Saccharomyces cerevisiae S288C: one gene and its partner. The protein of the gene in region 1 purifies or fractionates together with the protein of each later gene. This does not show direct contact. Each region holds a gene or a part of one and is shown in the gene's direction. Other genes may lie near its edges. The genes, in order: MNN5 and YGL140C.

Region 1 (5,845 bases):
ATATATATATATATAATATAATTTAACGGTTGTTATCTGCTACATCTGTAAAATAAAAATAAAAATGCTTGAAGCGGCTGTACTTAAAATAAACTCATCTAAGGTTTTACATGGTATTACTACCGGACTGCAATTACACTCTTTTTCGTTATTGGATTATTTATACAATGCGGCCCATAAGCACGTGTGGGAAAAAAGTATGTAAATAAAACAAGGTTTTTTGTTCCATTTATCATATAAAAAATTTTGGCTTAGGTCCAAAGTCGTCTTCCTGGATAATAGCACCTGCATTGCGTGTCATTTCTACATACAGGCATTCCTCAGTTTGTAAGATTTGATTTGCCGTGGGCCTTCTCTCATAATTGGGCTCTATCATCCATCGTACTATTCTCTCAAGTGATTCACCATCAATAAGAAATTTCGGTACCCATGCGGGAATTTTAGAACTTTTATGCAAAATAAGACGATTCTTGGTAGCGGCAGTATTGACATTATTATTATCGTTGCCATTATTCATATTAGGGTTGTTGATATTACTATTGTTATGAACAGTGGAGGTGCCAGCGTTGTTACTATTACCACTGATATTGTCTCTTTCAAAATCAAATAAATCATTTGTATCTACTTTCGTAATGTCTGAAAATAATGATTCAGAATGAATATCTGTGGAACTTAATCTTCCTGCATCCGATAAATCACCCGATCTCAACTTATGCCATGCGTTGCCATTGTCAGGTAACACAACGTTCGCTGCAATTTCAACAATCATCAGACCCAGGGAAAAAATATCTGCCTTGTAATCGTACGTACAATCAGAAATGATTTCTGGTGCAATATATTCTCTGTCACCTTCATTTTCAAAACTTTTATCCTCCAACGGTAAATGAGTAGCCATTCCAAAGTCACCTAGTTTTAGGTTACCTTCAAATGTGATCATGACGTTTGCGGGTTTCAAGTCCAGATGCACAATGTGACAAGAATCATGGATGAATCGTAAAGCCAGGCTTAATTCCACGATGATTTTCCAAATTCTCCAATCTTCCAACCTTTTTTTCTTTGCGATAACTTGCTCTTGTAAAAATCCATCCAAATTACCATTTTCGCACAATTCTGTCATAATATAGTATGAATTTTGAAACTTCCAGGAACTGATGTAATCGATGATGTATTCCTTCCCTTCTTGATCCATTGTAATTTGGTTTGTTACCTCGTTTAGTATTTTAATTTCCAGTAATATGCGTTTCAAGGAATTATATTTGTTTGGTTTAATGGCTTTGATTGCATACTTTTTGTTTGTTTGGGCAAACGTAACCTGGTAGACCGTGGAAAACTGGCCTTTACCAATGGAATGCACATTCGTAAATTTTTCGAAAAGATGGGAATCTGGATTTGCTGATAACTTATTTGAAGAGATTAGACGCCTTTTGGAATTTAACGGCGAAGAATCGGTGGAAGATATGGAATGCGTCTCTGCACTTGTTGTGTTTGTCACGATGGCAGAGGAGAGTGACAATGGTCTGCTTTCTCTATGTGTTTGAGATGTTGCCCCAATAATAGATTTTCGTCTTGTTGGAGTGGAGATCTCTTCGTCAGTGTCATTGTCATAGCGTCCACGAAATTGATAAGGTTGAGGGTTCTTTCTAGTTGAATGATGACTTGATATTATGATTGGAGGTGGGAAATTCTCGTCCGTGCCGTATAAATCATCTTTGAATTGTTGTAAACTGTTTGTTAGCTCTCTATTTTTCAAAATAACCGAATTCCTTGCTCTTTTGATTTTTTTGAACTTGTTAGAATGCAATGTTTGTGGAGAGCTGTTGGTAACCAAGCTATTAGTGGGAGACAGGATGTTTGTCTGGTTATTGTGACGATCATGTGCATGATATTTTGCCTCGCTCAGTGGGGATGAGTCTATGGTTGGTACATGGATGGAAGGTAAAGCTTTCGAAGACGGAGAATCTGAAAATAAAAGGTCTTCTTGTAAATTATTGTCTTCAACAAAATTTAAAGGGGAAACACTTAGAGAAGACGATGCATTTTTCGAACTCGAAAGGTGGACATGCTTATGGTCTCTTCCCTCCACTAAGGGTGATTTTTTCACTGGTGTTTCTGGTATCCTCAATTTCGCAGGGTATAACGAAGTGTCCATAGACATTTTAGATACGAGGCCCGAAGACGTAAAGGCTGATTGGTTAGGTTTAGCGACGCTATATGAAGAGGATGAGGATGTATTTTCAGTGCGAGCATCATTTTTCGGAAACCATCGCTGGTTCCATTGTTTGAGAGAAATAGGACTGTTCGTTTTTTCCGCAGATCTTTTTGTAATAGGAGTAGTAACACTTTCATTTTCATGGAACGGAGACCACCTTTTAATACGAGAATCCACGCTTTCCTCATCCTTGCCTTCTTCCTCCTCTTCTTCCTCTTCTTCAATTTTCCCAAGAAATTTGGAGTTAGCCTCTGACAAAGCTGTATTACTTAATGACAGGTTCAAGGTCCCCGTACTTCTTGTCAATTTGTTGTTCGAATATGGATAAAATTTCAGTTTATTGGTCGGGGTGCTACCCCCTATAGCAAAATCATCACTCTCGTCTTCGCCGGCCTGTTTGCCAAACATCTTCTTCCCCATAAACTGGAGGTTCTCCGTGTCCAGCATTTCGAAGTCCTCTTCATCCTCGTCCAAAGAACTCATCTGTTCTCGTGTGCGCCTGTGTGTGTTTACTTTTCCCCAGCACTACGCAATCAAAAATAGTAAGACCTGTTCAGTAGTAATCCTTTTTTTATTGGACTAACTGCGCAAGATGATGTGCAGGATAGTTAACACACGCATACATACAAAAAAGAGCCTCTTGGACAACCTTTACTTAATACACAGGGGCACGCCAATGTTCAACTGTGTTGTTGATTTCTTATCCAGCATTCTTTTACTTCTCTGCATTTTTTTCGCGTCGCGTCGCAAATTGTGATGGTTAAAAGAAAAATGAAAAAATATTTTTCGCGTCGTTATCACCCGGAGGAATAAAAAAAAGAAACATACACATCACGTGACCACAAGAATGTTAGAAAGGCTTACCAGTACTAGAGACGTTAATAAATTGCGAATAGCCCCCTATCTCCCACATGTTGGCATCTGTGAGGTGGAACCTATTTAAAGGTGCCACATTTCTTTCCTTAGAGGACGATGGTTGCAAGATCAGCACAAATCCATAGTTTGATGCATGGAAAGCGAAGCACTCTAACAGAAGTAAGATAATAAACAATCTCACGATTCTACTGATTTAAGTGCAACTAGCTCTTGGGCTTCTTTTGGTTGCCAAGTCGGAATAGACGACAGATGCATGTTTCGGTGCAGAGTTCAGAGAGATAAGTGCCTTCTTTTATCTTTTTCCCCGTTCTTGCGGATTTTTTTTTTCACTTTCTCATCGGCGGGGAAAAAAAAGTGTAACAACTAAAGGATCAACACGGCTTTAAAGTGTTTTATATATACGCAGATATGAAAAAAGCATTTTCACGGTTATTGGAAATTTTTATTTTACGACTGGTTCCTAGCACAACAAGAGGATATACTAATAGTTCAGGTTACAATGCTGATTAGGTTAAAGAAGAGAAAAATCCTGCAGGTCATCGTGAGCGCAGTAGTGCTAATTTTATTTTTTTGTTCTGTGCATAATGATGTGTCTTCTAGTTGGTTATACGGTAAAAAGCTTAGATTGCCGGTTCTAACAAGGTCGAACCTTAAAAACAATTTTTACACAACACTGGTACAAGCCATCGTGGAAAACAAGCCGGCAGATTCGTCTCCGGACTTGAGTAAGTTGCATGGGGCGGAAGGGTGTAGCTTTGCAAATAACGTTGCTGCACACGACTCTGGACACGATAGTGACTTAAGTTACGAGAGCTTGAGTAAATGCTATAATTTGAATAAAACAGTACAAGAAAGCCTACGAGAAGTGCACAGTAAGTTTACAGACACCTTATCAGGGAAACTGAATTTTTCCATCCCACAAAGAGAGGCACTTTTCTCAGGTTCTGAGGGCATTGTCACCATTGGAGGTGGAAAGTATTCTGTGCTCGCGTATACGATGATCAAAAAGTTGAGGGACACGGGTACTACATTGCCTATTGAAGTCATCATTCCGCCTCAGGACGAAGGCGAGGATGATTTTTGTAAGAACTGGTTGCCGAAATTCAATGGTAAGTGCATTTATTTCTCAGATATCGTTCCTTCAAAGCCATTAAGCGATTTAAAACTCACGCACTTCCAGTTGAAAGTCTTTGGGTTGATAATTTCCAGTTTCAAGCGTATTATCTTCTTGGACGCAGATAACTATGCGGTGAAAAACCTTGACCTTGCTTTTAACACTACATCCTTCAACGATACTGGCCTGATATTGTGGCCCGATTTTTGGAGACGTGTCACCCCTCCCGCCTTTTACAACATTATAGGATCTAGCATTAACATCGGCAAAAGAGTCCGTTTTGTTAGTGACGATATTTCCCCCGTGTCACGTTATGATCCATTTGTTAGTAACTCAAACGATTACACTCCAAAGGAGAGACAGGAGCATTTCCTGAAACATGTTCCCTTACATGATCTGGACGGCACGATGCCAGACTTGAGCTCTGAATCAGGCCAGATGGTGATTGATAAGATTCGCCATTTCAACACTCTATTACTGGCGCTATACTATAATGTTTATGGGCCTACCTGGTATTATAAGATGATTTCTCAAGGCACTGCCGGTGAAGGTGACAAAGACACTTTCGTCGCTGCTGCCCATGCCTTGAATATGCCATACTATCAAGTGAGGACTAACTTTGAATTTGATGGTTTCTTCTATCAAAAAGATGATTACAAGGGTCTCGCCTTGCTCCAGCATGATTTTGAACAAGATTACAAGCAATACCAAAAGGCGCAGCAGAAAGTTAAAGCCAACATTGAGGAATTTTCCAAACTGGATCCAGATTATACTTTGGACAATGGTTTCTTGAAAACTTTGATGGTTAATGATGACGGTTCTGATTTGGATATCATGTTCATTCATGCCAGTTTCTACAAGGCAGATCCATGGACTCTTTATCATGAAAACAGATTTATCGGTCCAAATGGCGAACAAGTACGGGGCTTCAGGAAGCCGCATCGCTATGGAATGGATTTTGAATTGTTTTTATTCAATGATATGAGGGGGTCCTTCTGTACCACTCCGAAAAGCCAAGTTATTAAATTCAAGTATTTTACCGATAAAGTTAATACCCCAGAATGGGATGCAATGTGTGAGTATTTGACCAATCATGTTAATTATCTGGAGAGCACACACAAAGAAGCTATGGGGGAGAAAAACTAATGAAGTGATTAACTATAATAATTTAATAATAACTCGCCATCCGACCTTGTATAATATAATGTAGCATATATGTGCACGGATATATATACATCTTAGAAAAAAATGAAAAAATGAAACCAAGAAAAAACTAACTGATGGTGTTCGGACAACGTTTTAGAATGAGGGTATCTAACTTTCTTCTACCATTCTCTGTCCAAAAACCTAGAAAGTAAAGTCCAGCCAAACCAAGATGTGTTTTCCAACGACGAAGACGCTGCGCTTGGTGAACGGTTTAATGTTTCTCCAGTGCTCTCATCTGTAAATCGTGACCGCGATGACGAATCTATATCTACGTCTGACAACCTGTCGAATTCAAGAGGCATCGAGTAGTAATTGAAAATAAAGTCACGCTGGGGGAAAAAAGATGGTATATCGTCAAATATTCTTTCATGATGGTATGTCAATAATTGCCGGCGAGTTTTCTCGCGGTAGCATGTTCTTAGAATTGGATACAAGTCTCT
Region 2 (7,683 bases), on another chromosome or scaffold:
TTGAGAAAAGCATCATACCAGCGAATGCCAATATCATCATTAGTAAAATGAACGAAAATGCAGCGTTCATAATGAAAAATATCCATCCCATAATAGCAGCCACTTTGTAGCTTTGGTTAAACAAGTCCGAAAAAAACATGAATAGAAAGGAATTAACTACAGTAACAGTAGCAATTAAAATATTCATTATGTTTGTTGGACGGTCCAGATAGGGCTTATAGTAGATAATAGCAACGAAGTAAAACAAATCCAATATGAACATGAAAAGAACTTGTGTTTGACCAGAAGCCTGAGCAAATCCAACCAATAATGATTTTACAAAAATGTAGGATAAAAGAACAATGTTCCACCAGTAATGATTGGCATTGAACATTGTATAGAAAAATCCGTATTTGTGTAAGACATATTCATCTCCATACAATAAGGCTGCTGGGTTGTTGTACAATGCAACAGATCTTCTTGCGAAAAAAACAGTCCTCCATGCAGCCCAAAGCATTAACCCACATGACAAAAGAATAAAAAGGCATGCGATGACGATAACAGCAGGTGAATCTCTTTCAGTAAATTCCCAAAAACTGAGAATTGTTAACTGAACGAAACCGATGTAAATATATCTTAAAAGAGCACCTTTTAAGATCATTCTCCATTGTTTCCTGAATTCCCAAAACCTTGCCTTTTGGATCCATCCTAACCGGGTGGCTAACTCCACACAGCATTTGAATACTATGATAAATCCAGCCAACACATATCCACATAAGACGAAGAAAGTAAAACCGGTACAAACGATGGACGTATTTTCGATTCCCATTTTATAGCCTAGCCTTTTGATTCCTCTAAAAATTAATGTATTTGCATTACCATACAAAACATTGGTAGCTCTTTTGATTAATGGGAGCTCCATCAAATATTGCCAACTTCTTTGAGCCAAAACAGACATAGATGTTGAAGTCAGATATAAGCTAGGCGTACCACCAGTGGATTGCACATACCACCGGAAAATCCTTTGCATGAATGAGATTCTAATTAACCCCATTGACCAAACCAAGTTTTCCGCCCAGGCGGCTGCAATAGGCGGAACTCGATGAACATGTTGCATGGCAACCACGACAACAGATTGGAAGTATAAGAAAAGTGACATTGTGTTGGCAGAAATATGTGAGGCTGCGGTAGAGTTCCCAAAAGTGGATAAGATGGCAGATAGTAAAAGACCAATTCCCGCTACCACTGCAGTTGCCCATTTTACACCAATCTGAGAAACTGTTTTACCGTTTGAGAAGTATATTTGGATACATGCTAGGTACTCGCTCACATTGTTGGTGATCTTGACCCTGGCATATGCGTCGATATCGGGGACTTGGTATGCAATACCAGGAATTTCATTTACGTACTCACTGGAGATGTATTCAATAGAGTCGATCTGAATATTACCTGGGTGAACCGGGCAAAACTGTTTCCAGTTGATTGAACAAAGATCGACATTTTTAGTAATGATCTTGAAACCATATGCGTAGACATCAATATCAGCAAAAATATATGAATCAATTTGAGTTGACATATCAAGATCATAATGTAATGACCTGTCGTCTGGATTGAAAACAACGTCAAAACTATTTGCTGACAGCTGCGAGTTTTCCATACATGTGACCAATGATGTGGCTACCAGCTTCCTTTTTGCCTCTGCAAGATTTACTTTACTGGCTAACAATATTATTAGTCCAATTAATGCCGATGATTTATAAACCTGAAGAAATCTCATGCCTGTGAGGGGTATACTTTTCTAGTCTCCACTATTTGTTGTTGTTGTTGTTGTTGTTGTTGTTGTTGTTGTTGAAATTTTTTTATTTATGGCCCGCTCGTAAATAAAAAGACCTTTCTTAGCTATACTTTGCAAAGAAGTTTTCTAGTACCCACCAATGTTGATTGGCACTCTATAACGAATGACGTCTTCGAATTGTTTTGTTGTCTTTTGAGCGTTGATCTTCTGGAAAGCGGATGAACAGAAGCGTTTTTGAGTTAATTTGATAGCGTCCGTAAGCTAGTAAATGGCACGGACAGCAACAGTATTCAGATATTCTTTTATCCCCAATCCCAACGAAGACTACCTTTTCATAGTCAACAGTTAAAGGAATCAACTATTTGAAGCTAAAGCGATGGGCCGCTGCTAGGGAAAAGGAAGCAACCATTACCCTCCTCATAAAATTGATAGGTCTTCAAAAGGCTGAGACTGATAAGAACTACCAGTTTGATGTCTAAAGAAAGAAAAGAGAAATCCAGGATCTACCTTCATCTCTATTAACACCTGCTATCGAGAGGTTATAATTGTGGTTGTGGCCTAACTACGTATCATACACTATTTTTACTTTATTCCTATCCTATCCTGGAGTTCGAAGAGAACATATTTTCAAGCGAGAAAATCTTCCTTATCCTTTGCATCAATTGCTTGACTTCATTATTTGTCCATGTCGCTTAAATCAAAGTTGACTAAGATTCAGAAGTTATGGCTGTATTATTTCCCCTGTGACAGAATCCTCGCGAAGAGAATATGTAAATCGACTGTTAATACTACGGTAGCTTTCATATTTTGCTTGATACCTAAGATAACTGCGCATTTGGGAGCAGCTCCTGCGATGCTGCCAATGATTTCTGTTATTGTTCACCCTGGAAGAAGGGTCGGGGGTACTATCCATGGTGCTATCTATTGCATAACTGGATTGATATTTGGCCTAGCTTACGCAATCTTCGGCCGGTTCCTTGCGCAGCGATGTTTAGGGAGTTCTTGGCATGAGCTAACAGAGGCACAGCAGCACGTATTGCACTATAAAAGATATGAAGCGGGATTAGCAATTTTGGCTGTTTTCGAAGTAATTATGCTTTTTTTTCATGGTTGGATGAGATCTGTATCACACTATTACTTTGGTATTGTTTTCCCACTTTTTGTCGTGGTTCATTTCGCATTTATGGATCCTTTGAATGAAACAGCAGGCACTATTGCTAAAGCTTATAGTACGCCTTTCTACCTGGGTATTGCAATGTCGATTTTCTGGAATCTTGTGTTGTTTCCTGAGTGGGGTACCACATATTTGGGTAATACGACTATTGATGCTATGAATGAGCTCCATAAGTCCATTGACTATTCGATAAATTTCTTCATTGCAGTTGACCCGCACAATAGTAGCCAGTTGTACAGTAGAGATCCTGTTTCGTTAGGCAAGCTATTGAAGATGAAGTCACTGATTTCTTCTAAAGTTAACAACTGTCGAGTAGTACTTCACGAGTGCATTTATGAGTTTACTTACGCTTATGTTTCGCCAACTAAACTAAAGCCAATCATATCTACTTTGGAAAATTTGACAGTCTTCATTAATGGATTAGTTAATACATGCCAATTAGAATTTATTTTATTGGCAAGACATGATAACAAGCTCAGGCCTGATGATGTCGCAGCTTTGACACTGCCAAAGAACAAAGAAATCAGCTTTGCAAATGCTGAGAAGTTGTTGAAAGTTATTGACAAGTTGCATCCAGTGATTTATAGTCTACACCGGACAATGAGTGAATGCATGTACATAGCAAAGTTGGTACTTGCTCATGCATTTGATGTGAAAGTTTCAAGGGTTCATTCCTGCTCAATGTTCAAAGATGGTAACTTCCCAACATTCAGTAATAACGCCAATAATCTGCCCAATGATGTTGACATCCAGAACAAGATCAATGACCTGAAGCAGGCGTTAGAAGAATGTAAAGCAAAATTCAAGTCAGAAATGTTAAGTTTTGATATTGATATTATGAGTCCTAGTGATGAAATGTTTTTGTTGTCTAGCTTTCTACTAAATTTTAGGCAAACTGCAGATTCAACTTTGGTAATTATGGAGTCCGTCAAGGACATTTTAGTCAAACGTCAAATACAAGAGAAGAAGGGCTGGCTGAGAGGCAAAAGACTTTGGTTTTTAGTGTTGACCAACTACGAGACATTTTCTATCTGGTTAAAAGGCGATAGGAACTCAGTGACTGAAAATGATACATTAAAGGGTACGTTCAATGGTAATACTAATGGTTTTGCTCATGACACAGTTATTAGAAGGCCTGATTATGAAGAGAATGAACTTTTATCTCAAAAAGTTTCATCGAATAAGAACATTGTAAAAGATGATGCATCGCTAGATCTGCCAATGACAAGTGAACCCAAAGGAAATTCATCTTCTACCTCTGACACTTCTTCGTCGCCATTAACGTTAACGAAAACAACTACGTTCGGAACTAATAGAACTTCCAGGAGGCAAGGCAGATTTTCTTTTATGTCCATGCTTATTTCAATTGATAAGTTTTGTGAAGTGTCACATCCTCACTTTAGATTTGGATTTCAGGTAGCCATTGCATTAATGCTGGCTTCATTTCCGATGTTTATTCCAAAGACAAGGCAGTGGTACATAGACTATCGTGGTACCTGGATTGGTTTCGTGTGCATACTTTGTTTGGAACCTTCCGTAGGAGGTACGTTCTGGGTCTTCTTTTTGCGTGCTGTGGGGGTTATTTTTGGAGCAGCCTGGGGTTATCTTTCCTATGTTGCTGCTGTCAACCAAACCAATCCATATTTGGAGACAGTCATCACAGTTTTTGGAGCCATTCCTGGGTTTTACTATTTATTAGGCACACCCTATGTGAAGGCTGCAATTATTGAAATTATTAGTATTTATATTGTTATGCTTGCAGCAATACTTCCCTCCCAAGATGATATATTGACTAGTTTCGCCAAGAGATGTTTAGCTGTCGGCTATGGTGGAGGGGTAGCATTAATAGTTCAAGTCTTTTTCTTTCCATTGAAGGCACGGGAACAATTAAATGAAGAGATTTCTTTTGTCTGTGGCTGTATATCGGAAATGGAACTTCTCTACGCCACCGGACTGGAAGGAGAGCAAGTCGCAAGTAGTATGAGTGAAGAGAAATACAAAAAAATCGAAAAGATATCAAAAAGTGCTAAAGAGGCGTTAGCCCGTGCTACGGCCTATAAAGGACTAACCAGACAAGAGCCGAGATTAAAGGGTGAATATACCGAGTTGGAAAATGTTTTCACTCAAGTTATATTTATTCAGAAGCAAATAATAGAGAGGATAGATACAATTTCCTTGCTGAGAAAGCAAAATGGAAGTGCGGTTATTGAAGAATTTAACAGTGTTGTATATCCATATCGACGCCAAATGGTTGGAAGTATTTCTTGCCTAATGAGAGCACTTCAAGAGGCATTTATAAATAAGACCCCGTTACCGCAATTTTTGCCCAGCGCAAGAATTGCACATAGAAGGCTGATTAATAAAGTGCGCCAAACTCTGCGAATAAGATATCCTGGGCAGATTTCAAATTTAAGTGATAAAGCAAGAAAGCCAAATGAAGGAGATTACGCTGACGGCAAGGATGAAGATGACGATGATAACGAAGGTTTGGTAATGAAAATGAATAGAAGGGGACAGGCCAACACAACAGCTAATCCTCATGAATATGTTTTAAAAGAAAAATTTTTAAGTTGGAACGCATCTAGTGCTGCATCGGAAGAAATAATTGAGTATATTGAAGAGCTGTTGAATTTAACTAAAATTCTGGTCGGTGTAAATGAGTTTAAATACGGGTTTTTATCGCGTCCACTTTACGAGGACTGGGCTGCAGAGGCAGTAACAGGATTTGATAATTTCATTAACGGGAAAAGCAATCCTATGAATACACGGCGCAATCGGACCCCATTTGATGGTACTTCCATCATTTCCGAAGGAAATGAAAGTTTACAAAGTACAAATTCTAATGAATCTCAAATTTCTCCTGATTCCACAAGAAGTTATGAGCCGGAATGTCCAGTGGCATACGAAAAAAATGATAATCCGGCAGCGTTGAATTTATTACGGATTGCTTCTCATAAAGCAGGCCAAAACGCGGATGGCTTACCAAAGACATTTAGAAATAGAGCATTTTCCATTACTTCTACCTCCGGCCAACTTTCAAGCTTAAGCAGACACAGCACCCTTGGTAATGCGGATCCTAATTATCTGAACGATGATGATGAAAGCTCTGATGATGATTTGCCATTAGCTTTGAAAATGGTGCTAAGTCACATGAAAGAAAAGAAGGACTAAGATATTGAAAAGTCCTAATGTAAGATAATTACCAATTTCATATTCATTGTCGATTTCACTTCGCTTAAAGAATTTTTACTGTTTGTTTTTTGTAAAGCCTTTCCAATAAAAAATAGAATGATAGATAAAGGTCATAACTAGAATGGTGGCGAACAAAGCAAAACTTAAATTATCTCTGCATACAAGCGTATAATTTCCTTATCTATAGTAATATATAAGAACTAGAAATCTGCCTATTAATTAATTACCTCCCTAATCTTCTGGGAATTATGATAAGTCAAACCTGGCGCCTGAGTTTATTGCATATAATAATTTCTCTCTCAAAATTGTTTTGTTTCTATAATCTGGCAATTTTAATAAATTAACACAGGTAGATGCCGTAGGCAGCCTGTATTTCTCTGTCCCTGCATTTCTGATACCAAATTTTGGATCTAATGCCTTGAAGCCTTGCAGAGGAGCTTGCGGAACGGACGTGACAAATTTCAAAAAATTCAATTTCTCTTCAAACTTAAACTCATTCAAAACCTCCCAAAAATCAACAATTGTCTGATCTTCTTCTTTATAACCCCCGTATTCTGTGTTAGATTTCAGATCGTCTAAATCGATATTATCTCTCTCACCTGATATTAACATTTGTAGTTCTATAGAGTTAAACATCTCCATCCAATGTGGGGCAATGATAACACTGAGCCCTCCATGGAATGCCGAAACTGGTTTGAAGCATCTTTTGTTTAATTTGTAATCCGTTACTTTAGTAACGTAGAGCAACACATTATCCTTCGTCACGTACGTTTTTGAACCATTCGGAATTAAGTCAACAACTTTTGCGGAACTTTCAGGCTCATCTATTTCAAAGGTTAAATCTAAAGACTTGATCTCGTCAGTGGTCATGTTCAATAATTTGATCAAATTATTATACAACACCGAATCATAGCTTCCCAGATCAGAAAAAGAAGATAAAAACCCGTTCGAGTAATTCAATAATTTTTTCAAAAAGAAATCAGCAAAAGATACATCTATCAAAACATGCTCATATAGACATTTGCCTACAACCTTTCCCAGAAACCATATATACTTAAGTTTCGTAGCGTCATAAACAACAGAAGGATATAATTCGTAGCGATCATTCGTCCGAAATAACTCGTGCTTTGGATCTTTAAATCCTTCATCAGACACAGTAGTTAAAAATTCCTTGGTAATGCCGCCCCCATCAATACCAGCTTCTTCACCAAATTCATTAATAAAAGTAACATCTAATGAAGCTTTGAACCTTTCTCCTATAGAGTTAAATGCGTTGAAAGCATCTTCTAAGACATTATCCCTAGAGATGATAGCGGATTGCTTCCTCATACCGGTGGAGGCCCAGGGGGTAAACATATTGATCAAGTTGTGATCGTCATCTAAAGATAATCGCTTCTTGTCCAGTGCGATGAACATATAAAATAAGTCCACCCTTTCTTCAAAAGGAATAAAAAATGGTAATTCCAAAAGTATTTCCAACTTTCGGAAACGTAATGATGACTTTAATCTCTTTTTCATTTTGTTCAATAATAAAGACTTCAAA

What was found.
Region 2: the proteins of MNN5 (region 1) and YGL140C purify together in Saccharomyces cerevisiae (affinity purification with mass spectrometry, with the first as the bait; one large-scale study listed by BioGRID). This does not show direct contact.

The regions. Positions count from the first base shown.
Region 1 is NC_001142.9:76,571-82,415, forward strand, and holds MNN5 (alpha-1,2-mannosyltransferase MNN5), read left to right. Parts: upstream 1-3,584; coding exon 3,585-5,345; downstream 5,346-5,845. Other genes in the region: tyrosine protein kinase SWE1, read right to left, coding at 233-2,692; ATG36 (Atg36p), read right to left, coding at 5,525-5,845. UniProt on the Saccharomyces cerevisiae protein: Responsible for addition of first and second mannose residues to the outer chain of core N-linked polysaccharides and to O-linked mannotriose. Implicated in late Golgi modifications.
Region 2 is NC_001139.9:239,789-247,471, reverse strand, and holds YGL140C (uncharacterized protein), read left to right. Parts: upstream 1-2,459; coding exon 2,460-6,119; downstream 6,120-7,683. Other genes in the region: FLC3 (putative flavin adenine dinucleotide transporter), read right to left, coding at 1-1,756; ubiquitin-ubiquitin ligase HUL5, read right to left, coding at 6,387-7,683.